Ovis aries: one gene and its partners. The protein of the gene in region 1 interacts with the protein of each later gene in a pairwise test. Links are inferred from orthologs where the notes say so. Each region holds a gene or a part of one and is shown in the gene's direction. Other genes may lie near its edges. The genes, in order: NUTM1, SAMD4A, P4HA3, SH2D4A, MORN4, RIC8A and ZNF277.

Region 1 (4,360 bases):
TCAAGCAACTCTTCCATTTTGAGTGAAATTTCATTTCAAGGGACAAAAAATTACTTAACTGACAACATGGGTATTTCTTACTTAATGCTAACAGTTGCACAAGTCTTTCTCAAGCTTTCTTCCCCTACCCTAGCACCCTGCTATGACTCACAGCACAGCACGACTGCTACAGCAGTCGCCTAAGTTTCTCTTCCAAGTGGTCTTGTATCCCTGGGGTACTCTTCCCTCTCGTTTCCCTCGTTTTTTTTTTTTTTTTTAAACCACTCCTTTCTTCCCACAACATACAAAATAACAGCTCTTTGAAATCATTTTAATAACCTGGCAGTGATTCAAAGTACGAAAATATTCAGATATCTCCCTTGGACGGGGATGCTACCATGACTGCTTCACAACAAGCATGATCGAAGGCAAAGATGAGACCGGACTCGAGGGGCAAGGGTCGGAGCAAGCTTCCAGGCTCACAGACTGAAGAGCCTGGCTGCAGAAAGTCTCTTGGGTGCTGGCAGGCAGCAGAAGACACATGAAATGTTAAGACATCCTCAGAGGACGGGGCGCGGCTGCTGGGTCATGAGCACCTTGAAGCGTTTCTTGATGGTGATTCGGTGTCGAGAGTATTTGTCGTCTGGGGAGAATCGAGCAGGGTGGGCCGAGCACGTCTGTTGTCCCATAGGATCAAGCTTCTGCTCGAGGAGGAAAGAACATAATCTCAGCACTGGAATGGTGGGAAAACGCAATCCCTGGCCTCAAAAGGGAGATGGAGGCTGGGATGGGGAGTTCAGTTCAGTCGCTCAGTCGTGTCCGACTTTTTGCGACCCCATGAACCGCAGTACGCCAGGCCTCCCTGTCCATCACCAACTGCCGGAGTTTACCCAAACCCATGTCCATGGAGTCGGTGATGAACCATCTCATCCTGTCTTCCCCTTCTCCTCCCGCCCTCAATCTTTCCCAGCATCAGGCTCTTTTCAAATGAGTCAGCTCTTCGCATCAGGTGGCCAACGCATTGGAGTTTGAGCTTCAACATCAGGGGCCGCGCAAAAACGGCAAACATGAAAACAGGAGACGCGACGGTAAGATCTAGAAGCCACGCATTTCTGCTTCCATTAATTAATACCACGCGCGGCTTCTGGAGTTTCTAGTCCCGCCCCCTCCCCCGCCCCCGCCCAAGCAGCTAGGCAACTCACTGTCTTCTCCCGACCGCTCCTTCCAATGACATGCATCGCTAAGCTGACATCCAGCCCGTTTACCCTTCTCACCTTCAGCGTGTAGACTCGCTCTCCTTGCTCGTTGAGGTAATACTGGAGAAACATGATCACACTAAAGCAGGACGTTCCAATTCTGTCCGCAGCTGCCTCTAACTGAAGGCCTCACGTGTTGGTCAATTTCCTTCCTGTACAGCCGGAAGTCTCGCTCTGAAAGCACGCCGGGAATTGTAGTCCAGTTTATCTAGACTTTTCTCCAGCCGGACAGAAGGAGGCGCACTAGCTCAGAACGTGACCAGTTGCAACCCAGTTGCAATCTTGTAGGAGTTGTACGACACGTGCAGTGTGCCCACTGTGGGCCTGGTACTGCTAGGGAGAGAGGGGAGTAGGGATGGATATAGATTAAACATAACTGAATACTATCCTGTTTTTATTTCAAGATGCACACCCATTTCAGAGGCAATGAGTTTCTAGTACCTGCAGAACTAAAGGCTCCAGGATCCAGAGCCTCCTTTACCTTAGGAAAGAAAGAAGATTTTCTTCCTTCCCCTATTTTACATCCGGTTCTCTCGCCCTGTTTCAAACATTGGCGGTAAAAATGCACGATGGGTATTCCATATTCTGCACAGCGAAAAGAGCGTGAAGTTATTTTACGAAACCGGTGAAGCATATTTTAGTGGTCGACCCAAGATTCAAACTCAGGTCTCTGCCACAAATTCAACTCTCTGTAGTGGTGAGTAGCTAATAATAGCGTGATAAGATGCGCCTCTTAGAGGTATGGCGAATTTTTAAAAGAACGTACAAATTCTCTTTATAGGATTCTGGTTTAAAGAAATGAAAATTGGAACCCAGATATCATTAACCGAGGTGACCATTGCGGTATGATTTATAATGGCGAAAAACGTTGGAAGATATATGCAGCTTTATAACCAGAAAAACCTTAAAGTTGGTTTTTTTTTTTTTAAGTATAGTTTGTGTTTGCTTGTAGTTGTATAAAATATCTCAGTGAGGATCCAGAATAAATCTGATTTCCTCCGGCATAAAGAGCTCAACTTGGTTCCAGAAGGAGTAGGACGGGGGGTGGACTTGCTGTGTACTCCATTTTAAATAGTCTGACTTTTGAACAGTCCTGATGTACTACCCATTTTAAAAATTAAAATTATTTAACAAAATTTAAAACCACAAAAATAATTTAACAAACAAACAAAAAAGACTTTTGGGTCTTGGAATTTTACTCTGAGTGGCAGTTTTTGATTAAGTGGGAAGCTTTTCAGCCCAGGGTATGGCTGAGCTGTTTGTGGACTGCAGAGGTGATGGTAATAGTCTATTTGGGAACTGCAAAACAGCTTTCTAAGGAAATGATATACATACAGCAAATCAGCACCCTTGATATTGTGAGACAACCCTAATTTGAAACATTCTGTTCACTTGATCCGTAAATATATAGACTATGTGCTTTGATTTTGGTTTAGAAAATACAGCAAACATTGAATTGTCAAGAGTTTGCCACAGTCTGCTGTTAATAGGAAGTCAGGTACAAAACTGGGTAGAATTGAAAGGCACAAAACTAGATATATTGGTGAAGAAGTGTATAGGGAACCAAGATGTGAAACTACGTGGTTGGGAATCTGAGAAATAATTGGCAAGTTGTCCTGAAGAGATACACAATTGTGTCGCCATACTCTGGTTTGGAGGGCATTCCTGGTTACTGCCTACATACCAGAGTCCTTTGTGGAATATCTCCCTAACTTCCCATTTCCCCCTCCCTTCCCCCCACTGTAGAATGATGCCTTGAGTTCTAGATTCTAGTTCTGTTTTGATCTGATGTTTACCCTCCCTTCCTTGGATCCCTGTGTTTCGACTGGAGTTTACTCTCTGGGTCCTGGACCTGCCTGTCTCATTCTGGAGGCTTCCAGACAGCCACAGTTAGTGCCCAAACCTGAGACGATGTCTTCAGATGGAGGTGAGCCTGCCGGTAGGGGAGGGTCCTCTGCCACCAGCTCCCTCTTTAGCGATTCAAAACTTGACACTTTACCTGGGGACGAGCTCTCAGGGCTGACCTAGAGGGATGTGAGAACACCAGACACCACCAGAGGCATCACACTGGGGGAGGAGATGGTGCTGTTAATACTAGGGGTTGGGGAAGGAAGGGGGCCTCCTAGGTGGCAGATCAGAGCACCTCTGAGGAAAGTGCTGAGTAGAGAGAAGGGATGGTAGTTAGCAACTTGCTTCTCTGGAAGAGGGTGACCTTCAGCATGTGTTTGTGTGGCAGGGGCAGGGATGTGTGTGGAATGGGGGACACAGGGGGGTTCCAGTGGAAGGCCCAAGTTCTGGTGTCTTCTTTAGGCAATTGGAGGCTGCTCTAGAATTTGCCCTGAGAGAACTGATCTAGGGCCGCTCTCAATTTTACTGGGTGTAGGGAGTGGAAGCCTTGTCTGGAAAACTGTTCAGTGGGGCCATCTGTTGCCAAGTCCGTCGAGAACTGTCCTCCTAGAAGCTAGATGAGGAGGTGCAGTAAGTGCCTCTGCTCAGAGCCTCCTGTCTCCTTCCAGCCCCAGCGAGGGCTTCTCTTTTCGTGCAGGGAGCAGTTTTCCTTGCTTTCCCAGGGTCAGGGGAGGTGGGTCACTCTAGCAGAGATGAGGACTGGGGCTTCCCTGAGACGCTCTGACTTTCTGCCTTTTGCGCAACTCAGGCCTCAGACCCATTTCACTGTGTTCCGTTCTTCAGGGAGTATTCCTGGTCCTCTGCTCTGTGCCTGAGGTGAAGAGTCTGCTCGTATTCCCTGTCTCCTTCAGTGGTCAGGAAGCAGCAGAAGCTGAACGTTGTTAATTTGCCAGCAGAATAATCTAAGAGGGGGAGGAGAGCAACCTGAAATTAGGCAGATGATCTGTTATTATTGAAAGTCCTAGGAGACACATGTCCTGATTAAGTACACGTTTTAATATATTTATCCTTGGTCTCTTTGACTAGAGTCCACATAGCCCCTGAACTGTGTCTCAGACTTCATGGTCAGGGCCTTTCAAAAGTGGACCCTAAATTTCTGGCATTAGGAGTTTCAAGCAGAAGGATCACAGATAAACATTATAGTATGTCTAGCATCTACTTGAAGCTCTGGAAACCTCCCTCCCCACACCGCCCTCCCTTTACCCACTTCCTGGCTC
Region 2 (4,612 bases), about 39 Mb from region 1:
TACCTTTCCTGGCTGGCTAATAATGAGCTTAAGAAAATTATTCACATACCCTATTTTAATGGTAACACCTAAATTTCTGCAGCTCCACAGACCTTTCAATACCCCAGCAGATGGTTAGGTCCTGTCACGTGTCTCACAGGAACTAAATGGTGCAGAAACTAGGTTTGAGGGAGGAAGGAAGAAATGATTGAAAATCCAGGGACATATGCTGGAGTTAAAGAAGGAAGTGTTAAATCCGTGGATAATATCTCAGACACTTTATCTTCAAAAATACTGTATTAGCGAGAGTAAAGAGGCTGGATTTGAAGCATGCGTTTCACAAATGTCTCAGAAGTACTCATACAGAAAGCCACAGGTTGCTGGAGAAATGTTCGAGGGCTCTGTGTTTTCACTTAAAACATGGGGAATAGTCTGGATTTGGTCACCAAGTCCTCTTGTGCATATTCAAATAATATCAGAAGGCACCGAGATTTTTAGGTTTTAGGGTATTTTTAACCAGTTCTCTACCTTGGAGACCAGCCGAGGCCACTTTCCCAGACCTCCCTGTGCTGCCTGGCCTCAGCGCCGCACCCCCCATCCCACAATTGCACCCCACCCCCTGGCGCGCGCGGCGAGGACCTCTGAAGCCTCGGCCCAGGCCTCGCGCACTCTGCAGGGCCAGGTGAAGGCTGCCCAGCCCTGCGACGACGCAGACGCGCTGACAGGTGGCCTCGCCCGCCTCCTGGCCCCCCGCGGCGGAGCTCCTCTCCGCTCCAGGCCCGCAGCCCGAGCCGCAGCCGCAGCCAGCGCGCCAGGCATAGTTTCCCAGCGGGCCCCCAAAGTCGGGCGGCTTCCCCAGGGGAGAGCGAGGCCCCAAAGGGGCCGGGGCCGCCCACAAGAGCAAAGGACATCTGAGGTCCGACCCGGGCGAGGGGTGAGCAGCCCAGGAACTTCTCGCGCTCATAGAGGACATGGGCAGCACGGAGCCTGGTGCCCAGGCACTTCCAGCCCTGCATACGACCCCTCGGCCTCCTCTGCCTTTTGCTTCTGCGACCCCTGAACCTGTCCACACCCGCAGCGTCCTTGACCCTAAGTCTCTGCCACCCTCGGGCCCCAGTAGGGCCGAGGGGTCACCGGAGTCCGCGCACCACATTCCCAAGGACGAGCAGCCGGTGGCAGCACCGCCCCCGCTCAAGCACCCTCCGGGTCCCCTCCCGTCCGCAGTCCGGCTGCTTAAGCGCCCTGGCCCCTCCAGAACAGGCAGGCAGCAGAGGGCCGGAATTCACTTGGACCCCTCCCCTTCCCCAAACTTCTTCCCTCTCCGCCCCGCCGTTCCTCCAACCCGACCCCTCTGCGCCATCTGGCTCCTCCCTCTCCGCTCCCCTCCCCTTTTCTGGTCCCCACTTAGGAATCCACCTCCCCCCACCCCCGCCGCCGGCCGGGTCCGGGGATCCTCCCCCGACTCCCCCCGCGTGCCGCCGCCGCCGCCGCCCGGGTTCCTCTCCCCCCGCTCGGGCGCTCCCTGCCAAGCCCATGATGTAATGGTGTATGTTAATCAGTAGCATGTGGGGAGCTCCGGCTCGGGCGGCTCAGTCCTCCGCGAGCCTACACTGGAGGCGGCAGGAGCGGCGGCGGCGGCGGCCCGATCCCGCAGCGCCGCACTCTCTCCGCGCCGCCCGCCCCGACGGCATGGCCCGCAGCCCGCCCTCCGGGCGCCCCCAGCCTCGCTGAGAGCCACAGCCGCCCCGGACCCGCGCGTGGGGCCCCGAGCCGCCGGGATGAGCCGCTCCGAGGTGAGCGCACTCTGTCCTACGCCCCAGGCCGAGGGGCCCGCGGTCTCTGGGTCCCCTTCCCGGGGGCCTTCCCCCGCCTCCGCTCGAGAAGTTCTGGGAACCGGGAAACTGGGGTGCTGAGAGCGAGCCGCCCCTCGAGGGCTGGCCGAGTCGCTGGGCTCTCTCTTCTTCGCCGCTGGCGGCCACCCGGACAGGGTTAGGACTGGGGGAGCCCTCGAAACCGAACTTTTCTTCTTCGCGGTCGTTCGGGGGCGTGTGCCGGCGGCACGGAGCCGCAGTCCCCACGGAACCGCCCTGCCTGCCGCGGGGGGCAGTGCTGTGGGCACCGACTGTCTCCGCGCTCGGCGTGCGCCAGTGGCCGTGCCGACTTCGGCCTGGGACGCGCGGGCCAGGCGCTGGGCCGGCCGGACCCGCCCGTAGGCGGCGGGAGCTGGGGCAGGATGCCTACAGCACACACACGAGTACACACACGCGCGCACGCACACACACGCACACATCTGAACGCTTAGGGCGAAGCGGACCCTCAGAGACCTCCCGGGTGGGCTGGAGCCGAGCGGCGCGCGGGAGCCGAGGCTCCGGCTGCGCCTCTGCCCGCTGGGCGCTGAGCTCTGGGTGGGGAGAGTTTATTTTTGTCTCGAGCTGCTGCCGCGGCTGCTCACGGCCTAAATCCAGAGGGGCGCCTGGCGGTGGAGATGCTGGCTGTTGCTGTAGATGGAGCTGCAGCCGTTCGGCTGCTTCTCCGAGAGGAGGAGGAGGAAGAGGTGGCGGAGGAGGAGGAGGGAGAGGAGGAGGAGGAAGGAACTCGGGCTGCCGCGCCTCCGCCTCTGCTTTGCATTAGCCCCCACCCCCACCCCCGCGCCCCTTCGCAGCCGCAGTGCAAGTTTTCTGCGCGAGGAAGATCTGTTGCTGGTGCGGGCGTTTGCAGGCACAGCCCCCGAGGCCACCCCGGGCGGGGTGTGTGGGGAGCACTAGCCGTTCGCAGCAGCAGCAGCAACAGGAAGCCGTGCGGTCTTCCTCACGCACCTGGGAAGGAGGCTTCTTGCCTTTCCCAGAACGGGAATAGCTCCTCTCCAGCATCCGGGTGCGGAGGGGGCGGCCGGAATTTGGGAGACTAAGACCCCGCGGCGCGCCCCCCTCCGCCCCCTCAGATGCACTAGCTTCACCGGCGCACTCCCTCGCTGGCCGAGGTCTCACTGCAGCCTTTTCTCTCCTTCCAGTGGTGATCGCTACTCGGGAATGCGGGTGTGAAGGGTCCGAGCTGCTGCCCAGCGGGGAAGAGACCCCGGGACGCCGGAAATCACCATCCCGAAGCTGCGAGAAGAGGGGAGGGGGAAAGAGAGCCTTCTTCATTCAGTTTGTGTGCCTTGTGGGGAAAATTTTTTTTTTAATCGTTATTTTTTTAAAAAAAGAAATATTTCCGTGCTACTGTCTGTCATCATCTCTGGGGAAATCAGCCAGAACCACCAGAACGTAACTGAAACCAGACGAGAGAGGCAGGAGCCGAGGCAGTACCTGCAGCGTCCGGGCAGCAGAGCCACCTTGGAACGGGAACGCGTCTCCGGCGGCCGCGGGGCTGCGGCTCCGCCAAACTTTGGGGCGGGCGGGGCGGGCTGGGGCGCCCCGGGGGCTTTGTAGACTGAGGGCCGCCCCCTAACCATGATGTTTCGCGACCAGGTCGGGGTGCTGGCGGGCTGGTTTAAGGGCTGGAACGAGTGCGAGCAGACTGTTGCGCTGCTGTCGCTGCTCAAGCGCGTGAGCCAGACCCAGGCCCGCTTCCTCCAGCTTTGCCTGGAGCACTCGCTGGCCGACTGCGCCGAGCTGCACGTCCTCGAAGGCGAGGCCAACAGTCCGGGTAAGTGCGCGGCCGCCGCCGCCGTCCCGCGGTCCCGGTTCTCCTCCCCACCCCCAACCGCCGCTGCCCAGCCTCGGGCCTGGCCCCGCCCCAGATCGCCGGTCCTTGGGGACCGAACCACCGCGGCCCCCGGGTCCTTGGCATCTCTCCCCCGAGGCCGTGCCGCCCACTTACCTCCGCTGGCAGCTTCGGGTTTTTTTGCTCACTGTCAACTCCTTCAGTTAATTCCGTGTGGTAGCTACGGTAGCATGAATGATTGATTTTTCTCTCATGCAGTTTCCTGGGAAATAATTAAGTCAGGTCACGTAGAGTCTGGATTTTCTGGGCTTTTTTTCTTTCCTCCTTTTGGGCAACGTGGCTCTCTGGATTTCAGCAACACATGAAGAAGCCTGAGACTGCCCTTCAGAAGCTGAGCTTTGACTAGGCTACATGAGGAATATATGAAACCCAATTTTACATTCTTTTTTTCTCCACCGATATTCCAATTTTAGAGCTCTGTTTTCAGAATAATTTGTAGGTGACGCTACAGACTATTAAAATGATATTTGCATTTCGTATACTACGTGCTTACACTTAACTATCACGACTTTATTTATATTGATACGCATCTTATAGAAAGGGTCTCATAGGGAGCAGGCATGAATCAGTGTCTTTAATGCTTTTGTCAGGAAACTTTACTGAACATAACAGAATTGTTTCCTATTACCCTGCTAGTGTATTTACAGACACCTCAACTAGTACAGAAAGTGAATACACTGAGATATATTCAGCAGTTTGCTATTTGCTAGCATGGGTGGTGACAGACTGGAATTATATCCGGGGCTGGGGGTAAGGGGTGAGGGTGGGGGTTGGGGAAAGGTCTATTGGTTGTAATTTGGGATGGGGAAATTCTTTAGTTCATGCTGCAGCAGGAGGGTGAACAGAGCCCCCAGTGTTTATGCAGAGAAAAGAATGCAGGGTCCTCTTCCAGCTGTTCCATGTTAGAGCC
Region 3 (2,934 bases), on another chromosome or scaffold:
GTTCTGACATTGATCCTCCTTAGTTACATTATTTAAAGCCCCTAAGCCTCAACTTCCTTTCTGCTAAGGTGGAAATGACAATGATGCCTGCTTCCTGGGGGTGTTATTAGGAAGTGCCTAAGAAAGGCTAAGCATCAGAATGAAGTTCTTAGTTGTGTGAGGAATATTTTGCTCCCCCTTGTGCTTTTTGTTGAGTGCCTGGCCTCAGTGATCCCGTGACACCCTGTGCTCCCCTTTCCCCTGACACCTGTCAGTCTCCTCCTGGTTTGTTTTTATGTCTCTCTCCCACGAGACTATGAGCTCCCTGAGAGCAGAATTGATCATGATTTGTCTCTGCATCCACAGGGTCTGGAGAAGGGCAGGGCCCTGTCAGTAAGGCATCAGTGAATGAGTCAATGGCAACTTGTCTACCATTTTGTGCCATTTTATGTATTCCTTGCCCCCATCTGCATGGACGGTTTTCTTGGTTAATGACATGTATGCATTTGTCCTCAGTCAGGTGCTTCCCTAGCACTGAGACTCTGGGCTGACCTTGCCTGGGGCGGGGTCTGCTTCTTTCAGAATGCAGCTCTATTTTGGTGGAACCTGCACAGGAGTGGTGAAGGGGATGGTGACACACTTCATGCTGCCTGCCCTGTCCTGGTAGGAGATAAATGGGGTAAGGCCTGCCTTTCTGGGCATGGGAAAGGGGTGAGGGGTTCAGGGGAAAGTGAAATCGGGGTTGGATAGAACATAACATAGCCTGTCATTCCAAAAGCTTCGTAACAGGGACTTCCCTGGTGGCCCAGTGGTTAAAACTCTGAGCTTCCATTGCAGGGGCCCTGGATTTGATCCCTGGTCTGGGAACTAAGATCCCACATACTGTGTGGCAAAAAGAAATAAAGAAGAAAATTTCTTGAACTGAATAAAAATGAAAAAACAACAAATTAACTTTAAAAAAATTAAATGGAAAATAGCAAAATTAGGGGAAAAAAAGCTTCATAGCAATGTCACATTATACTGAGGTGATCAGATTCTGGGCTAGTGGCCACCAGTACCTTAGGAACCCATAAAGGGGAGGCTTCTGTCCTATAGCCAGTGTCAGTAAAAGTTGACTGGCCTGACCAGACAGGCCTGATTCCTCAGGACAGCTAAAGAAGAATCAGTGCAAAGTCCCACTCCTCTGTTCCAAGGAGAAAACCATCAGGTGCTTTCCCATAAGGAGAGGTCAAAGAAAGATAAGTAAGGGACACACGCACATCATACATGTGTCCACGAGAACTTAGCTCTTAAGACAGAAACAGTAGAAGAGGGACTCTTGTGCTGAGGTGGACCTGACCAGGGAGGGTCCATGCCTTTTCTCTCACTACCCTGAAATGGTACCCTGTGGGAGGAGGGGCTTTCAGGAGCTACATGAAGGGGAAATGACCACAGTACCCATGGGTTTGAAAATTAAGTCTCTAGTAGATAGGACCTGTGGGGATTTTTTCCAGGGACCACTGCCCTTCTTGCTCTTTATTGCTACTGGAAGCAACATCTTGTAGTCTGTGACAGGCCTGGGACCAAGGTGAGGCAAGCGAGTCCCCAGGGGTATGGAATTTCATGGCCCTGTGAGTATCGCCTCTGTCTGATCTGCTGAGCCTGCTCCTCTGCCTCCCCGTTCTCCCTCAGTGGCCAACAAGTGGATACACGAGTACGGACAGGAATTCCGCAGACCCTGCAGCTCAAGACCTGAAGACTAAAGTGTTGGCAGAGAGGAGCTGGAGGAGGCCTTCGGCTTTCCAAAGAAGCCGGAAGTAAAAAGCTAGGGTAAGAGAGTAGAAAGGGGAGCAAGCTTCTGGAGGAGGCCCTTGTCAGCACTGTCTGTTCCTTGCAAATGGGAGACAAGGAAGTGGTCTCTAGCAGGGACATTGTTTCTCCTCAAGCCATGACTCACAGCAGAATGACCAAGACAAAGGAGGGGGCCCGAAGGCTGGAGAGAGAAGTTTCTGGAGCTCAGACTCTCTTTTGGAAACAGGGCCTATCAACAGTCTCCAGGGTTTGGTCGGTGGGGCCTTCGCCACTTGAGCCTTGACCACAGGGGCCCAGAGTGGCAGTGAGGCCCCTGCAGCCGACGCCTGACTCCCACGTGCCCTTCTGCCCACTGACTCCTGCTGAAGGCTGAGCAGGGGGTGTCTCTGTATCAGGAGTGTACCTCATGTGATGACTTTTTCATAGCAGACAGTAACTTTTTTAAAAAATATGATTTTTAAATACAGCCATTAAAATGTTTTAATAGTCATAAAAAGTGTTTACAGATCATTTTTCACAACCATGAACATTCTTATGTTCTGAAAACAGCAGAGCAGAATGTTTTATTTATGTATAATCTCATCTTGGCTCATCTCCCACCACTCCCCACTCAGTGCATTCCAGATGCATTCTATTTCTTAAAACCGACATTGGTCCCACTCTTCAGGTCTTTGCACTCACTGCTGCCACCGGGGCTGAGCCCTCCTCATCATTCCACTCTTGAATCAGTGTCGCTTCAGAGAGAACTTCTTTGACACCCATCCTTCTAGCCATTTTGTTCACATAGGCCAACTTTATTTTCTTCCTAACACTTTTCTCAAAGTTACTTTATTCATTTAATTGTGGTCAGTTGCCTGCTCTGCATGGTGAGTGCTTTAAGATCCCTCTCTGCTTTGTAAATGCCTCACTCCATTTTTCAGTATTTGTTTATTTGCCTAGCTGCTTGCACTCCTTATACCTCTTGGTATACCCCCCAGAAAAAGGTCTGTTTCAAATAAGTAGGCATTCAGCAAATATTTTTGGATAAATGAGTAAGAAGGCCTCCTTTGAGCTATGCTTTGGAGGACGGGTAGGATTCTTATAGGCAGAGTCTAATGAGGAGCAGCACTTCCCAGCAGGACTGGCATGAGCTAAGGCTGCAGTGATGAGTGACTGATATTTGAG
Region 4 (3,812 bases), on another chromosome or scaffold:
AATACTGGAGTAGGTAGCCTTTCCTTTCTCCAGGGTATCTTTCCAACTCAGGGATCAAACCCAGGTATCCCGCGTTGCAGGTGAAGTCTTTACCAGCTGAGCCAAAAAGGAAGCCCAAGAATACTGGAGTGGGTAGCCTGTCCCTTTTTCAGGGGATCTTCCCGACACAAGAATCGAACCAGGGTCTCGTGCATTGCAGGAGGGGTCTTTACCAGTTGAGCTACCAGGGAAGCCTGATTCTGGGCTCCCGGAAAACTCCGTGCCCCTGACTTGGAGCCAGACGGCCGGGCACACCCCCTCCATCGTCTTGTAGGAAATGGGGATGGTAAGGGGCTGAACTCCAAGGTTGGGATGAAGATTCGTTAGTTACTGCCTTCACCGCTCATGGTCGGTCGTGGCTGCGGCTGGGGTCAGCGTCTGAGACCAGGAGTGCGCCAGGTGGGGAGGGGAGAGCGGATTCAGCCCTTTCAGGGTTTTCCTGTTTAGGTGCTGCCTGCCCTGTCCCTGTTGCTGGGAGTCGCCCAATTCCAGACTGGGGGATAGAGCGGAAGCTTCCAACTTCCCTGGGCAGCTCCTCTCCCCTGTGTTTTATTTCTGTGAAAGTCAACCCCTGGTCAAGAAGTGTCCCGGCGTAAGGACCTTTACCGGAATGTCATCTATAGCTTTTATTATGTTGAGGTGTGTTCCTTCGGAATGTCAAGGACTCATTCACTTTGGCTTCTTAGCACTTGGTCTCCAGCACTGGAGTCCAGTGAGTGGAGGACTTACCTTCTTCCTGCTGTTCTGACGCCTACAGACAAGAGCTCAGCCTCTGGAAACCCCCGTCAAGTGTAGATTTAGTTGTGCCCCTCTCCTGGAGACCGCAGAGTCAGGACCGCATCGCAGGACATCAGTGGTGTGGCTGTTAGAGCCTTTGAGGGTCGCCTCAAAGCAAAATACAAAGCTAGCCAGGCAGCCTGGGGCAGGCGTGCCTGACTGAGTTAGAGTCGGACGGTGCCTTTAATTCTTTTAAAAATTTCTCTAAACACTGTGTTCCATTTGAGCCCCGGGTAACTGAATGCTACAGATGGCAGGACGCAGATGGCGAGGGTCGTGGTAGCCTCAGTAAAGGTCCCTGCTACACAGGGCATGTTAGTGAACGGAACTACATGTTGTTGGTACTCAGGGCACCCTGGGTACCCTGGCTGTTGGGCTGTTGCTTGTGCTTCTCTGAAAAAGCTGGTGTAAATGGAGAAACAGCTGCGCAAGGAGGTGGAGCAGGAACGAAGCTGCAGGAGCCTCCCGGGCGTGAGAGGAGTGTGGCAGCCTGCCTGGAGGTGACCAGGAGAAGGGCCGGGGGTGACTGGCCATGGGCCTGGGAGGGCCGCCGTGTGGCTGAGCGACTGGTCTGAAGCTTAAGAGCCTTTGAAGTTAGTTTGGAGAAAGAAGATATTTGAGAGGGCGTGGCCAGATGGTAGGATTGTTAGTCTGTTTCTTAGAACATAGGTGATCCTGCAGAGTTGAAATAAATAAGCTTTTTGTGGATTTCTTATTATATTGGAACAAAATAAGCATTCTGTTTTTCCCCCCAGAATGGAAATGTGTACATCATTTTCTCCTAATGACAAAAATGTGAAGGTTTGCTATATTTTTTGAAAATAGACCAAATGGAAACGTGTGAAGTAGAACACGTCTGCTGAGGAGTAGGTGCCCCTGTGAAGTCACCTGTGTGCTCAGGCCCAAGGCTCCTCCATCTGAGAAACTGTCTTACAGAGCGAGGACCCTTTGTGATGAGCCTGGTCACCCCTTCAGTTCAGTTCAGTTCAGTTGCTCAGTCGTGTTTGACCTTTGCGACCCCATGGACCGCAGCACGCCAGGCCTCCCTGTCCATCACCAGCTCCCAGAGTTTACCCAAACTCATGTCTGTCCAGTCGGTGATGCCATCCAACCATCTCATCCTCTGTCATCCCCTTCTCCTCCTGCCTTCAATCTTTCCCAGCATCAGGGTCTTTTTCAAGAAGTCAGTTATTCATATCAGATGGCCAAAGTATTGGAGTTTCAGCTTCAGCATCAGTTCTTCCAGTGAACACCCAGGACTGATCTCCTTTAGGATGGACTTGTTGGATCTCCTTGCAGTCCAAGGGACTCTCAAGAGTCTTCTCCGACACCGCAGTTCAAAAGCGTCAATTCTTTGGTGCTCAGCTTTTTTCACAGCCCAACTCTCAAATCCATACATGACCACTGGAAAAACCATAGCCTTGACTAGACGGACCTTTGTTGGCAAAGTAATGTCTCTGCTCTTTAATATGCTGTCTAGCTTGGGCATAGCTTTTCTTCTAAGGAGCAAGTGTCTCTTAATTTCATGGCTCCCCAGTTTATCTGGTCTGTAAATTTAGACCCTGTGAAATTAGGGTATCTGGAAGAGGCACGCCTAAACCCTGGTGCCCTTCCAAAATGCATGTGAGTGCCCTGTCCTGCTCTGCACGGTTTCTGTGGTTCTGGTGAGTTGTCTGAACACCGAACTGTCCATCTGTGAAGATGACAGCGCATAATTGTTTGTATTAACAGCCACTTGTAAGGGAAAATGGGAAAATTGCATTATGGTCTAATTTTTATTTCTTCTTTATTTCTTCCTTAAGCCTGGCTTGGGTTTGGGTGGGTAATTCTCTGAAATCTCAAAAACAGTGTTTGCTTTTGAAGTACGTTGTTTGGAGAGAGGCTTTTAATTTCATCCTTGCCTTTGTCTCTTTAACTGTTTTTAGCTGTGGACGTGGTGGTTTGTTGAGCTCGGAAGTAATCGCATGTTTGCTTAGTTGGGAGACAGCCAAGCCTCTGTTAATTTTTTGTTTCCCTGAGAGTGACCGGTAAAAAGTTAGGGTTTATTTTTTTGTTTTTTTGTTAAAGTATCTTTGGAAATTACAGGATACAGGTTACACAAAACTCTTAACAAAGCTTGCCTGAAATAAAGGCGGATCTGTGTTTCTGCCAAGCTTGCTCCTAAGCCCGTCCTGGCCTTTGTACCTTCTAACACAGTTGCATCTTGGCGGTTGCTCTTTGCAGGTTCATGAGTGGCGTTTTGGACAGGGGGCCCGGTGTGGGAACCCAGAGCCAGTTCGCTGAACTGCCGCCGTCCCAGCCCCACGAGCGTCTGGGAAGGTCTGTGGGTGCCCCCCCGTGCCAGCCCAGGGGAGGCAGCCCTGGAAGCCGTTCTCAAGAACTTTTGCCTCAGGTGCAAAAGACTCCAGCCCCGCAAAGATGCTGAAACAGATCCTGTCGGAGATGTACATAGATCCTGATCTGCTGGCAGAGCTAAACGAGGAACAGAAACAGATCCTGTTCTTCAAGATGAGGGAGGAGCAGGTCCGCCGCTGGAAAGAAAGAGAAGCAGCGATGGAAAAACAGGAGTCCCTGCCAGTGAAACCCAGGCCGAAGACAGGTAAGCGGAGCTCACTCCTCCCGGAGCCTCCGCGGCGGGCGGCCTCCCTGCTTGTTTGCATGGCTCACACTGGTCAGCAGCTAGCCGCGTCTGAGGTCTGGTTTGGCAGGCAGACCCTCAGTGTTACTGAGCTTTTCATGGTGCAGTTGATTAGCCTGAAGCACGCGCGTGCGTGCGCGCGCACACACACACACACACACACACACACACAAGCAGCAATACTCTGGAGTGGTGAGGCTGAGAGCAGATGTCTTTCTTGAAACCGGACTGACCTTAAGCTGCAGTAAAAAGTCACGTGGAGCTGAACTCGAGGGGCATGTTCGGGTCCACCTCCTCTTATCCCAGATGCCTGGTATTCTGCTCTGCTGGGCTTAGTTGCTCAGTCGTGTACAATTTG
Region 5 (4,315 bases), on another chromosome or scaffold:
CCATCTCCCTCCCCATTTCACCCCTCTGGGTTGATACAGAGCCCCTGTTTGAGTTTCCTGAGACATGCAGCAAATTCCCATTGGCTATCTATTTCACATATAGTGGACACAGGAGGTGGGGGAGGAAAGGGCAGGACAAATCAAGAGAGCAGCACTGACACATACACACCAGCATGTGCAAAGCAGACCAGTTCAGTCACGTAGTCGTGTCCAACTCTTTGCGACCCCATGGACTGCAGCAAAACAGATGGCCAGCAGTTAACTGCTGTATTGCACTGGATGCTCAGTCCGGCGCCCCACAACTGTCAAGAGGTTCTGAGTGTGTTCCTCTGCTTTCACTCTCTCTCTGATCATCTTTGGTGTCAGTGACAGATTAATTTTCTTAAAACACTGGTTTGACTGTGTCACCACTATGATCAAGAAACCATATTTTTTTTACTGTGGTTAAAATATATGTAATATTTATCATTTTAACTGTTCACAAGTGTCTAATTCAGTGACAGTAAATACATTCACAATGTTGTGTAACTATCACCACTATCATTTAAATCTACAGTTTACTGAACACTTGCAGTGTCAGACTCCTACAAGGTCAGACACAGTACAGAGAATTTTATATTGTATTTTCGTACAAGTTCTGGGGAGACTTTATCATTATTACTATTACCATCCTATTCTACAGATTAGGAAATCCAAATTCAGAGGAGAAATCTACTTACTCTGTTCACGTGCTTGCCCTCTCTTAATAATTAAATAGTCTTGGATTTTTGTACTTGCACGAATCTTTTCTTCTCCACATGGAGTCAGTAAATCCTATGAGAGCCGTGATCATGTCTATTCTAACCTGGCAGAACCTAGCATCATGCAGCTTTCACATTGTTCAGTAAATAAATATGGGTAAGTCGGTTGGTGTGCATGATATTTGGGAGGATTTGTTCCAATCTTGACACTATATTTTAAATATAAATGGTATGAGTAATGACAACGACAACACAAATCCATACAGTGAATGTAAAATTGCCCTGATATCACAATGCGGACGGATACTTATGAAACTGCAGTTGTCCTGTCTTGCTCTTTACAATTTACAAAGTCGCAATCTCAAAAGTCAGTTTGGGGTTCCTGTCCTTTAGCTCCTCATGGGTGCCTTTGACAACTGCGGAGATCTGAGCAGGATAGGAGACGCTGGTGTAGGTGGTCATTGCTACTTCTGACTCAGGTTTGGTTTGGTTTGGTTTGGTTTGGCTAGTTAGCTAGGCTACCCCTGGTAGGTGAGTTCTGAGTTCTCCCGGCTGCTGAGACGTGACTATAGTTCAGCCCCACCCCTCTTTCGGGTATTGAGCGCAGGGAGCCTGAGACACTGCCCCGCACAAAGATGGCGCAGAGCCCGGGACTGGCCCAATGGGGAGTGGCGTTGCTACCGGTTGCCTAGGTAACAGCCAATGGACTGCGGGAATTGTTCCCAGTGTGGCTACCCAGGATGGCGGCGTCAAGTGGGGCAGGCACTGGAGGTAGCCGCGGAGAGGCAGGTGGCAAGGACGAGCTGGGCGGAACGGAGGTCCGGGCCGGTGCAGCCCGGCGTCGGGGTGAGACGATCATCCTTGAAGCCCCGGCCCAGGTTGACTGGCAGCACGGGTGGGAGGGGGCCGGGAGAGTGTGATCGGGCAAAAGGGACTGGGGAGCCCAGCCCGAAATGACAGGGGCTGAGGAGCGCGGCTCCATCGGCGGGGAGGTGGGGGGGTGGCACCCGCGGGAGTCCCAAAACCCAGGCTTCCGTCTCTGCTGCGGGGTCTGAGGCCCGAGGGGAACCCATGGCGCCCGGAATGGTGAGAGGGGTGGGTGGGGGCTTTGTGAAGAGCGGATGGCAGACCTGTGTGAGCGGAAGACCCCGCCCGCGTGGAAGAGCTGACCCCGGGTGGAGGGAAGGAGCTGTGCTGAAAGGCTAGGACCGGTGGGAGAAGAAATGCGGAGGTCGACGAGAAGAGTTGCCTTCTTGCGGTCTAGGGCTTTGTTTGCTCAGGGTTCGCCAGTCACACTTTGGTGGAGAGGCGTCCCGCATACACTCAGTGAGTCTTGGGAAAGGGGATGCTTAAATTAGCTGATGGTGGCATTCCTACGTCTAGCATCTCCAAACTGCTTAGGTACCAGCGGAAGTCACTCGACTATATTAGAACCCAGCCCAGGCATTTTACTTTCTCATGGACTAGAATAGTATCCTGGCAGTCCCCATCGCCCCAAGGCCTCTGGTTTTTTGTTTTGATCTTCTTTCTGGCGTCAGGATTTTCTTTCCACTTTCTCCAATCTTAACTGTCTCACAGTCTTCCTAAATAAGACCTTTATCTAATAGTGATACATTTGTTTATTTTTCCTGTGGAAGGAAGAATTGTTAAAGTGAAAGAGATTTACAGACTTAAAAGAGAAAATTATTTTAAGTTCACTTAAAATACTTTAAAAAGAACATTTGACTTTTTGTTCTAGGTCTCTTACAAGCCTGATCTTTGTTCATCAAAGCCTTCATTTTCTTCTTTTTGGAATTCTAAAAGCCTAAGAACTGCTTTCCTTACAGCTCAAAGAACTTTGACAAGACTGTCATACCCTGGGGAGGGTGGCTTTAGGGGAACCATGTGATGCTTATTAATATATGTGGATAGTTCAAGTGGATGCCTCAAAAAATATTCTTAAACTGAAAATCTGCTTTCTTTTAGTTTTTTTTTTTTCAATCCTCTGGATTTGGATATATGTTAATTACTGTGGATCCATAAATATTTTTGATCAGTTTGATTTCTGAAATTTTATAAAAAGACAAATGAAATGGAAACAAAAGTTTTCATCCCTGTCTTCTAGTTCTATTTGGAAATGTTTGGGGCAGGAGAAAATAAAGATAGTGAGGATATAGTGTATTGTGTAGACTAACAGTGTGTTGGTTTATGGGGTAAAAATAGTCATTTTCTTTTAGGTAAATGTTTGGTTTGATCCTTTGCAACCTATCTATCAAGAGAGAAAGGGTGGGCATCTGTTAAGAAGGATGACTTATCTTGACTTTCTGGCTAGATTCCACATATGTATCTGAAGCCTAAACTCCTAGGCCATCTGTTCTCTTTAAAAATATTTTTTGAATAGCTGATACAAATACTGATTTGCATCCTTTATTAAAGTATTGGGTTTTATTTTTAGTCTATATTAGCACTGGCTATACTTCATTAAACTAGATTTGTCTCAATAACTATGATTACTGATAAAGTTCCTTTTTGGGTCAGTAGCTCTACAGCTATTAATTAGCATGGCTAATTACAGAAGTCATAAATGAAAACCCTGACACTCAGGCAGTGACAATATCAATTATTTGGACACATGTAGAAGTTTCTATTCGAGTGTGTTCAACCATGGCCTGAGAGGAATGGAGTGTACATCTGGTTCCTTTAATTAGCACTTCTGATTGTGTTCTTGGGAACTGACATCATTTTGACAAGCAACTATTGAAGTTTGCTCTATCACCCTAAAACAAAAAGGAATGAGAATTTGTAGTACCTGCAGACATACTACATTAAAAACAAATGGAAAAGGACAGTGGCAGGGTTAGGTTGAGAGATGATGTTTCAGTTACAATTGCTGTATAACAAATTACCCCAAAATTAGCTGCTTAAAACCTGCCATATGATGCTCACAGATCCTGTGAGTCAGGAATTCGGAGAGGGCATCATGGCAATGACCTCACTCTGTTCCATGATACCTCAGCTGAGATGCAGGTTCAATAGCTGGGAGCTGGAATCATTCTGAAAGCTCCTTTACTCACTCCTGGTGCCTAGGCTAGGGTGGTTCAGAGATGAGGACTGCTGACTGAAAGCACCAGCGCATGTGACCTATGTAGCCCAGCCTCTGAGCATGGTAGCCTCAGGATAATCAAACTACTCCTGTGATGTCTCAGGTCTCAGAGCTCAAGTGTACCAGTGAGCAAGATGGACACTGCATCACCTTTTATGATCTAACCTCAGAACACATCATCACTTCCATCACCTTCTATTGGTTGAAGCAATCACAAGCCTGGCCAGATTCATAGGTGAGTTAGACACAAGTTTTTGATGGGACAGTGGCAAGGTCAAATTGTAAAAGAACGTGTAAGACAGGAAATATGGTCGCAAATATCTTCGGAAAATGCAGTCCATTCTATTTGGTAATGAGAAGCTAATCTTTCATTTCTTTGGCTTCTTTGAAATGTTTAGGATATATTGCCCCAAAGCTAACAACATACTGAAAGAGTGGCTAGGTTTACAATTGGAAGGGCTGGCTAGTACTTGGTCCCTAGATAATCCTCAAG
Region 6 (4,258 bases), on another chromosome or scaffold:
CCTCTGAAGAAAACAAGGAACCAGGAAGAGGGGTGGGAGCGTGAGGGGAGTGGGTACGGGAGGAGCCAGCGCTTTTTGACCTTGCACGCGGTGCTGACAAGGGGCCTGACAAAGTAGATGCTTAACAAAGCCTTCTTGCCCGGTGGATGGGTTATAAGTTACCCACCCCCCGTAATGGAGCAATTGCTGTGCCATGTACTCGACAATCCACTGAAATGGAAACTTGTATCGTCTCTGCTTTTCAAAAAAGGAAACAGCCCAAGCAGACGAGCAGGTGTGCCTGCTTACACAGCAGGGAAGTCACCGCACACAGTCAGACTTTGTCTTCCTCCTGACCTTCCCCCCACCCCGACCCCGTCTCTCTTTTCTCTCAGCTCCAACAGTGATGTTTCTCTCTCCCTCCACGGCCATTCCCACCCTCGCACTGGCCACTCCTGCCTTGCAGAACCTTCCTTCGGAGCCTTTCCTGGCTCACTCCCTAGGCTCCGGTCTCAGCAAAAACTGACTGGCACTTCTTCAGATCTCCTTGCAGCCCATCAAGCCCCTTTTGTTATTCAATCACAGCACTATAGCTGCCTAACGTCGTCTTGTTTGCCCGTTTTAGTCTTCACATCCGGCACATAAGCGCCAAGAAGGCAGGAACCTGTGGGTTCTATTCACCCGCATCCCGGCTCCTCGCGTGCAGTAGGCACTCAAACATCTGTTTAGAAACCAAGTGGTCCGGAGGTTGTAAACTCCTTTCCACCTCGACTTTTCCCTGGACGTTTCATTCGTTCTGTGCATCAAGAGCGGTGTTGGTGTGCGTGTGATGGAGGGGTGCGGGGCTGAGGCCCTCTCCTGTCAGGAATCCTAGCCCAAGGAGTGAGGCTCACTGCTCGGTTCAGGGCGATTCTGGCCCATAAGTCGGACGATCACCGAGCCGGAGTTTAAGGCCAAAGCTGACTCGGCAGCAAAGTCTTCAAGTTCTATCCAGCTGTTCCAGGCCTCGCCCCTTTAAGGCGCCACACAGACCAGAGAGCTCTGCGCCCGCCGGGTCCCGGCCTCCCCTGCGCGCAACCCAGGCCCCGCCCCACGGCGCCGCGCACGCCCCGTCCCGGCCTCCCACGCGCGCAGCCCAGGCCCCGCCCCTTTAAGGCTCCACGCAACCCAGAGAGCTCGGCGCCCGCCCGGTCCCGGCCTCCCCTGCGCGCAACCCAGGCCCCGCCCCACGGCGCCGCGCACGCCCCGTCCCGGCCTCCCCCGCGCGCCGAGCCTGGGCGGGGCGGGCAGACGCTTGCCCGGAATCGCGAAGCCGGGAGCCTCCGGCCTTCCTGGCATCGGGTCCTGGAGGTGCCATGGAGCCCCGTGCAGTTGCGGATGCCTTGGAGACGGGGGAGGAGGACGTGGTTATGGAAGCTTTGCGCGCGTACAACCGGGAGGTGAGCGGGAGTTGTAGACTTGGGACGTGCAGAGAGGAGGTGGGGCCGGGTGGGGCCCGCGCGCGTGGCCGGCTGGAGGGGCGGCGAGAGCGGTGAGCGTGGCAAGGGGCTGAGGGTGGAAGGGAGAGCGATGGGGAGGAGCACCGACTCTCTGAGGAGTTGCGAGGGTGCCGGTGTGTGGGGCTGGGGCGCCATTTGTTCATAGAGGTGCCTTCGGCCTCAGGCCCCCATCCGCGGAACCCGGGTTCTGACGCGGTAGGCCTGTGCCTTCTAGCCTCTGGGTTTCTTTGCAGAACTCCCAGAGTTTCACGTTTGATGATGCGCAACAGGAGGATAGGAAGGTGGGTGCTCACCGGAGGTGGAGGGGCGTGATTGGGTGGCCCAGGTAGAAGGGCCTGGTGGAACGGCTCTTCTCCCTGCCCGCAGAGACTGGCGAAGCTGCTTGTCTCGGTCCTGGAGCAGGGCCTGCCACCCTCCCGCCGCGTTATCTGGCTGCAGAGCATCCGCATCTTGTCCAGGGACCGCAGCTGCCTGGACTCCTTCACCAGTCGCCGGAGCCTGCAGGCTCTTGCCTGCTATGCTGGCATCTCCGCCTCCCAAGGGTCGGTCCCTGAGCCGCTGAACGTGGATGTCGTACTCGAGTCCCTTAAGTGCCTGTGCAACCTCGTGCTAAGCAGCCCCGGGGCACAGGTCCTGGCAGCAGAGGCGGGGCTAGTGGTGAGGCTCGCAGAGCGCGTCGGACTGCACAGCCGGAGTAGCTTCCCGCACGACGTCCAGTTCTTTGACTTGCGTCTTCTGTTCTTGCTAACTGCACTCCGCACCGACGTGCGCCAGCAGCTGTTTCAGGAGCTGCAGGGAGTGCGCCTGCTGACCAGGGCGCTGGAGCTGACGTTGGGAATGACTGAGGGCGAGAGGCACCCTGAGCTCCTGCCTCCCCAGGAGACTGAGCGAGCCATGGAGATCCTCAAAGTGCTTTTCAACATCACCTTCGACTCCATCAAGAGGGAGGTGGATGAGGTGAGGGCGGACCTCAACCTGTGGGTGGGGTTTAACAGCTTGGACATTTCCTGCACATGCTGCTTTGCTGGGTTCCTTCAAATTTCTGGATTAGGTGTGCTTAGCCAGTCGAGAGAAGCAGGGAACACCTATCTTGGACCGGTCTCAAGGAAGTTTTCTGAGGGAGTTGGAGAGCATAACTGGCTCTTGCAGCCTGGCTGGAGGGCTGTGTGGTGTGCAGGGGAGGCTGTGAGATTCTTCGTGGTGAGACTGAGTGGGGCTGAAGCACAGAGCAGCTGTGTGCCAAGGGGATCCATTGATTTTCTTAACCGAGAGTTCTCTTGAGGTCTCCTGGGAGAGGACAAGCACCAGGGTGTGCAGTAGAGAAGCATAGTTGTTAATGCATGAGGTCTTGCAGGGGTGTCCAGAAGGTAGACTCTCAGTTGGCAGCAGTGGGGCCAGTGGGGCGCGCTCTCACAGGAACTCCTGTCTGTCTGGTCAGGAAGACACTGCTCTATACCGGCACTTGGGGACCCTTCTGCGGCACTGTGTGATGGTTGCTGCTGCTGGAGACCGCACAGAGGAGTTCCACGGGTGAGGGGGGTGCCTGTCATGCGGGGGGGTGGGGAGGAATGGGGGTGGTTTGCTCACAGGTCGCTGTGGTGGTTCCCAGCCTTAGAGTCTTCATCCTTCTGGGTGGAACCAGACAAAAGTGTGTTTCTGGGGCGCTCCAGCACTTATGGTCTAGGATCGGAGGTGTGAGTCCAAGGCAGGACGGTGCCAGGGGGCCTTGGGTAGGGGCAGCGGGCGCTGTGGTATCGATAGGGTGGTGTGCTTCCTCACTTTCCTTCTTGGTGGCCTATGCCTAGGCCGGTTCTCAGTTTTAGCTGTGGTGCCTCAACCTAGATACGTGGTGGGTTGGGCATTTACAGGAAGTAGCACTCTTGCCTCTGGTACCTTGTTCTGCTGCTTGGGCCCCCAGACACTGGTTCACGGCATTTACGGCCCCAGCAGCTGGCAGCAGGGGTCGGTATTCACCAAGTGCCCCTTCCATCTGCCCCCAGCCACGCAGTGAACCTCCTGGGGAACTTGCCTGTCGAGTGTCTGGATGTTCTCCTCGCCCTGGAGCCACACGGAGGTTCCTTGGAGTTCCTAGGGGTGAACATGGATGTGATTCGTGTCCTCCTCAGCTTCATGGAGAAGCGTCTTCATCAGGTGGGCAGGGGGACTGCTGTGGCTTTGGCCCAGGTTTTTGCAGCTACTGTGGTCACTGTGTTTTTGCTGTCCACACTGGTGAGGGGAGATCACCTCCCCAGTGTGATTCGGGCGGTTCCTCCCACGTCATGGTCAAGCCGGATCTTCCTCCCTGAGAAGTCTGTGGGCTTCATCTCGAGGGCTGCTCGTGCACAGGGACAGTCTGAGTCCAGGGGCACAGAGAGGGATGAGGGGCAAAGTGCTTTCAGAATCTGGCAAAGGACTCATTTCTTAGACATCTTTGTGAATCCTCTTGAGGAGTCCTGAGAAGCCTCCCACCCCTACCCCCTTGAAGTGCCACCACGCTCCCCATCCCTCTCTGTGCCCCTGGACTCAGAATGTCCTTGTGCACGAGCAGCCCTCGAGATGGGCGTCAGCTGTGCCATGGTTTCGCTCGGAGGACCCACAGGCCCTTGAGAGCCCGCAGCCCCCCGCTCCCTGCAGCTGCACCCTGGGATGCTGACTGGCCGGCACTCTGACCAGCTTCTCTGGGGGTTTGCCGGCGTCGTGCGGGCTGGAGCACGGCAGGCCTAAGATTCAGTGCTTTGGGAATGGTCTTGTGTGCTGGTGGTTAACGACTTTAAACATGC
Region 7 (4,589 bases), on another chromosome or scaffold:
GGAAAGGAAGGGAGACTCCTGTATTCATCCGTCAATATTAATGTCCTTTGTTGTTCACCTTTACACAGAACAGCGAGCGCTACCCTGCTCCTTTTCCTCCTAACACCCGTATCAGGGTAATCTTTCCTAAAAGCTGTCTCGTTGCCTCGAAGACCCAAGCTTTCGGAGTCTCTCTCCCGATTAACACTCCACAGCTGTCCTCCAGCACCACCCCCACCATGAGCAGAGAGGGTGGTCAGAAGCAAAAACATTGCTGAAATACCCGTTTCCCTCCAAAGACCAAAGAGCAGAGCGGCGCAGATGTTGAAATTTACTAACCCCCGCCCCACCGCCTCTCCGAGCGCGCACACACACACCGGGTAACCCGGGATGGGAGGGAGGAGGAAGGCTCGGGCCGGACTGTCAGAGCGGCTCTTCTGAGGACGGTGCCACATTCCGCACTCCGGGAATGTGGAAGGCAAAGGGAAGGTTCTGCGCCTCCCTTCTGTTTTGGGGATGTTCTCTCTCCGCTACTGTTGTCTCCCTCTCCACCCTGGGAAGTCGTTGCAGCCCTTGCTTTCTTTAAGGTAAAGGAGAAGGAGGGAGAGGAAAGCCGTCCGTTCTCCTCTTCCAACTTGACACACACACACCCGGTAGCCACTCCAAACTCCGCAGGCAGAGCCCGCAGCAGCGGGCTGGCCGCGCGCTCCCCTCAGCCGTCCCGGCACTCCCTCCGGGAACCCATGCCGAGAGCTCCCATCCGGCGTTGAGGGGCGAGACCCCGAGGCGCAACCCTCTGCCAGGAGGTGGCTGAGCAAAGCCCCTAACCCGCAGCGCGATGCCAGAATTAGGCATTTGCAGCCGGGCTGAGCGAGAGGGGCACGGGGGCAAGGACGCGAAATTCGCACTCGGTCGGGCTAGGACCAGAGCAGAATAAAAGTTCGCCCCGCGAAGACTCACCCACGCCGTATTTCTCGTGCTCCGTAGGTATCCACATGGCTAAACAGGGGTCCGGGGTCTTCAGGCTTTGCAATCCCCGCGCCCCTTCTCCGGCTCACAACAATGCACAGCTTCCGAGTAGTGGCTGCAGCGCTGGAGCCCCGCGGCTCCGCGCGGGCTGCGGTCGCTGGGCAGGGTCTGCGCTGGAGGCTCCCGAGCCCAGCGTTGACACCGCGCGGCCGAGGCTGCGCCGCCCGCAGCTCTGCCGGCTGTGGCTGCTCAGAGTCCTCCGACGCGCTCCCGGGAACCCAGAGGCGCAGTCATTGTTCTGATTCACTGAACTAAGCGAACACGCCGGGGCACTCTCCGGCGCACCCCCGCCCGTCAGCGCCTCTTCTAGCCCTCCCTGCCGAGCGCCCCGCAGCACGCTGGGAACTGTAGTTCTACAACAGCTCCATCCCGGAAGGAGGTGGGGAGTTAGCGGCTAGGGGCGGGACTACGTCCCGCTCGCCACGTTCTATTGGTCCAGATCGTGACGGCGCGGAGTGGGCGTGGAGGAAAAGTCGCGTCAGTGGGGAATTCGTTTCCAATCGCGTTTCCATTGGTCCCGCGCTTGGTCTGCGGCCCTCTTTTTTTTTTTTCCCCCTCAGCCGAGTAATGGCTGCTCCCAAGACCCTGGGGGCTGCTACCCAAGGGGAGGAGGACAGTGATGGCAACCGTGGTGGAGCCAGAGGTGTCAGTTATGAGGGTGAGTACGGTGCCTCTGAGGTGCAAATGGTTTTTTGTCTTCGTTTCTCTCCAACCTGGAATACAGCTGACTGCTGGACGGACCTTAGCGCTAAGGCCACTTGAGCGCGAAGGGGCCACGGGTGGAGCCCCGCGGGACAGGAGGGGGTGGGAGAAGGCTACTTGCTGGAGACTGTCTAGGAGGGAAGAGAAAATGGGATGAAATGGCCTTATCCGCAGCCAGGGAAGTTCCCTGGGTTCTGTCCTACGTTTGGAGCTCCCACCTTTACTTTCGCTGCCGAGTGGGCGTGGGTCAAGGTTTGCGCGTGTGTGAGTGTAACTCTGGAATTAGCTGTCCTCTTTCCTCGCCAGTAGTCTACCCTCGCCTCGGTTTGCTTGGTTTGGCCTCGAGAGATAGGTTTTATTTGGGTTCGAGCGGATTTCCATTTGCAAACTGGTTGGTCACTCTACAGATTTTTCTCAGTTGTTGGCTGGAGCAGCCTCTGAAGGGAAAGTCTGTATGACTCTCACAGCTTCTTCCCCTGTCAACTGCCCCGGGCGTTCTCCAGGATTGAATGTAGAGAGCCTGGGAGATCTTCCCAAACTCTGGGTCCTTAGAGCAATAGGAAAGGAAATGGTAATTCTTGTCATGGCTTCACAGAAAGTCATCACAGCTACTTTGGCTTTGCTTCACTTTCAGGTTGTCTTCTGACCCAGTATAGAGAGCAAAAATAAAACTTTGAAAGCTGCAGAGGAGGTTATCTTTAGAATCCCTAGCCCCTTTCTTTTGTTGTTGTTCTATCCATCTATCATCTATCCATTTATCAATGAGTCCTATCCGACTCTTTGCATCCCCATGGACTGCAGCACTCCGGGCTTCCCTGTCTTTCACTGTTTCCCTGAGTTTGCTCAAACACATGTCCATTGAGTCATTGATGCCATCCAATCATCTCATACTCTGTTGCCCCCTTCTTCTCATGCCCTCGGCCTTTCCCAGCATTAGGGGCTTTTCCAGTGGGTCAACTCTTTGCATCAGGTGGCCAAAGTATTGGAACTTCAGCATCAGTCCTTCCAATGAATATTTTAGGTTGATTTCTTTTAGGATTGACTGGTTTGATCTCCTTGCAGTCCAAGGGACTCTCAAGGGTCTTCTCCAGTACCTCTGTTTGAAAGTATCAATTCTTTGACCCTCCGCCTTCTTTATGGTCCAACTCTCACATCCATACATGACTACTGGAAAAACCACAGACAGACCTTTTTCAGTAAAGTGATGTCTCTGCTTTTTAATACACTGTCTAGTTTGTCATAGTTGTATCCTTATAGTCTGTGTATCACCAACCTTACTCCCTTCTTTTTTGGGCTGATACATAAGTTAACACAGCTAGTTGTCTTTTTCCTTTTGATTTCTGTTTTGTTTGGCCACACCATGCAGCTTGCAGGGGGCTTGCAGGGGCTTAGTTCCTTGACCAGGGACCCAGTCTAGGTCTCCTGCAGTGGAAACTCTGCCCTCTTCAGAGTCTTATCCACTGGACTGCCAGGGAAGTCTGTTGATGTTTTTTCTGTTAGGTCAGTTTATTTCTCTTCCTAGTTTCTTGTCTTGTTACACCAAAAACTTAGAGTGATAGATGAAAGGGTACAGAATAACAGACAAGTTACAGTTCAGTTTGGCTCAAGCAGACTGATCTTTTTTTACACAGACACTCCTAAAACATGGGAGCAGACTGACTCCAAGGGAGCTCTCCTCTTCCTTCCTGTTGATCCTGTTTGATAGCCCACTTTCATACTTCCAGTTTCTTCCTTTTGCCTATGGTGTGTGCAAAGTAGAACTTGTACCCACCACCAGTCAATGAAAGGGAATGCAAATAGGCATATACTCAAGGCTGATTGACAATTGTAAGTTATGTAACAGCAGGCTATGTTGTTTCTGTCTTCTCATAATTCAGTCCGTTATGATTAGATGTAGAATGTTCATGAGCCCTTACTGGGCTCCTAAGTGCCTAAGGTTACTCGGAGAAGCCCCTTGTTTATTTTGTATCCACTCACTGTGTGCCTAGGGCACATGTGCATGAGTTGAAAAGTCTCTGGTTATTTTGTAGCATATCTATGAGCTCCAGCTTGCATCCCTTTCAGCCAGGCCTCCCTTGTTGCTCATGTCTAACTTCCTAACATAACAAATGTGGTTTGAGGCTTAAATTTGGTTCTTTATCCTTGTCATTGTTTTTTTGTTGTTGTTGTTAATTTCTTGCTTTGTGCTTTCATGGTTAAATTGACTTTTAGTCATAAATTTTGTCTTAGCACAGAGTTAGTGCTACTTCTTCCCACTTCAGTGAAACCCCTACTTCTGAAATTATTTCAGTACCTCTTTCGAGAAATTTTTAGTAAGCTCCATTCTTAAATATTTTGTTATATTCATACCCTAAACAGTTCATTTTGGGATATGCCACATAGTCAACTCTTATCTTATAGTAACATACTAAAGATTTTCCAGATTCTCAAAGTTCCAAAAGGCTACTTGTTTAACATTTGAAGGTGGAATCATTGGTAAATTTATCTCACCAAGTAACTCATGAAAAAGAAAATTGGCTATGCCTTTCAAAAGCATTGTGTGACTTTTAAATACATTAGTCATTTTAAAATTATAAAACATTTAATCATTAAGAGTTCAAACCATTCAGAGGTGTGTAAGGTAAAAAAGTAAAAGTTCTTGCACCACACACAGTCTCAGTCCCAAAGTAACAATTCTTGGGGGTTTGGTAAGTATTCTTTACAATAAGTTTTATGTATGACATGCATCTATATGGTTTTGATTTCTTTTGAATAAAAAAGGATCATTCAGTGTAAGCTTAAAGATCTGCAACCTTCTTTCTTCCAGTGTTCTATTATAGACATTCTTCCATGTCAGTACATCTGCTGCTTCATTCTTTTTAAAAACTGTGTCCGTAGTA

What was found.
Region 2: the proteins of NUTM1 (region 1) and SAMD4A interact in binary tests that used the Homo sapiens proteins (3 or more experiments, as listed by UniProt). The two-hybrid records come from large-scale screens. The link is inferred for Ovis aries from reciprocal best matches to the Homo sapiens genes NUTM1 and SAMD4A.
Region 3: the proteins of NUTM1 (region 1) and P4HA3 interact in binary tests that used the Homo sapiens proteins (3 or more experiments, as listed by UniProt). The two-hybrid records come from large-scale screens. The link is inferred for Ovis aries from reciprocal best matches to the Homo sapiens genes NUTM1 and P4HA3.
Region 4: the proteins of NUTM1 (region 1) and SH2D4A interact in binary tests that used the Homo sapiens proteins (3 or more experiments, as listed by UniProt). The two-hybrid records come from large-scale screens. The link is inferred for Ovis aries from reciprocal best matches to the Homo sapiens genes NUTM1 and SH2D4A.
Region 5: the proteins of NUTM1 (region 1) and MORN4 interact in binary tests that used the Homo sapiens proteins (3 or more experiments, as listed by UniProt). The two-hybrid records come from large-scale screens. The link is inferred for Ovis aries from reciprocal best matches to the Homo sapiens genes NUTM1 and MORN4.
Region 6: the proteins of NUTM1 (region 1) and RIC8A interact in binary tests that used the Homo sapiens proteins (3 or more experiments, as listed by UniProt). The link is inferred for Ovis aries from reciprocal best matches to the Homo sapiens genes NUTM1 and RIC8A.
Region 7: the proteins of NUTM1 (region 1) and ZNF277 interact in a two-hybrid assay, tested with the Homo sapiens proteins (2 studies listed by BioGRID). The two-hybrid records come from large-scale screens. The link is inferred for Ovis aries from reciprocal best matches to the Homo sapiens genes NUTM1 and ZNF277.

The regions. Positions count from the first base shown.
Region 1 is NC_056060.1:26,484,859-26,489,218, reverse strand, and holds the start of NUTM1 (NUT family member 1), read left to right. Parts: upstream 1-1,394; 5' UTR 1,395-1,932; intron 1,933-2,016; 5' UTR 2,017-2,078; intron 2,079-2,981; 5' UTR 2,982-3,023; coding exon 3,024-3,162; intron 3,163-4,360. Other genes in the region: NOP10 (H/ACA ribonucleoprotein complex subunit 3), read right to left, coding at 540-680, 1,254-1,307. UniProt on the Homo sapiens protein: Plays a role in the regulation of proliferation. Regulates TERT expression by modulating SP1 binding to TERT promoter binding sites.
Region 2 is NC_056060.1:65,150,575-65,155,186, forward strand, and holds the start of SAMD4A (protein Smaug homolog 1), read left to right. Parts: upstream 1-1,570; 5' UTR 1,571-1,772; intron 1,773-2,637; exon of another isoform or gene 2,638-2,853; intron 2,854-2,989; 5' UTR 2,990-3,428; coding exon 3,429-3,624; exon of another isoform or gene 3,625-4,612. UniProt on the Homo sapiens protein: Acts as a translational repressor of SRE-containing messengers.
Region 3 is NC_056068.1:52,347,763-52,350,696, reverse strand, and holds the end of P4HA3 (prolyl 4-hydroxylase subunit alpha-3), read left to right. Parts: intron 1-561; coding exon 562-658; intron 659-1,650; coding exon 1,651-1,721; coding exon of another isoform or gene 1,722-1,779; 3' UTR 1,780-2,266; downstream 2,267-2,934. UniProt on the Homo sapiens protein: Catalyzes the post-translational formation of 4-hydroxyproline in -Xaa-Pro-Gly- sequences in collagens and other proteins.
Region 4 is NC_056079.1:37,631,152-37,634,963, reverse strand, and holds part of SH2D4A (SH2 domain-containing protein 4A), read left to right. Parts: intron 1-3,039; 5' UTR 3,040-3,234; coding exon 3,235-3,415; intron 3,416-3,812. UniProt on the Homo sapiens protein: Inhibits estrogen-induced cell proliferation by competing with PLCG for binding to ESR1, blocking the effect of estrogen on PLCG and repressing estrogen-induced proliferation. May play a role in T-cell development and function.
Region 5 is NC_056075.1:18,633,934-18,638,248, reverse strand, and holds the start of MORN4 (MORN repeat-containing protein 4), read left to right. Parts: upstream 1-1,464; 5' UTR 1,465-1,618; intron 1,619-3,925; exon of another isoform or gene 3,926-4,057; intron 4,058-4,315. UniProt on the Homo sapiens protein: Plays a role in promoting axonal degeneration following neuronal injury by toxic insult or trauma.
Region 6 is NC_056074.1:47,475,089-47,479,346, reverse strand, and holds the start of RIC8A (synembryn-A), read left to right. Parts: upstream 1-1,267; 5' UTR 1,268-1,334; coding exon 1,335-1,418; intron 1,419-1,711; coding exon 1,712-1,759; intron 1,760-1,844; coding exon 1,845-2,435; intron 2,436-2,916; coding exon 2,917-3,008; intron 3,009-3,478; coding exon 3,479-3,629; intron 3,630-4,258.
Region 7 is NC_056057.1:57,731,641-57,736,229, reverse strand, and holds the start of ZNF277 (zinc finger protein 277), read left to right. Parts: upstream 1-1,512; 5' UTR 1,513-1,575; coding exon 1,576-1,666; intron 1,667-4,589. Other genes in the region: DOCK4 (dedicator of cytokinesis protein 4), read right to left, coding at 940-976. UniProt on the Homo sapiens protein: Probable transcription factor. Involved in modulation of cellular senescence; represses transcription of the tumor suppressor gene INK4A/ARF, perhaps acting via the Polycomb group (PcG) complex PRC1.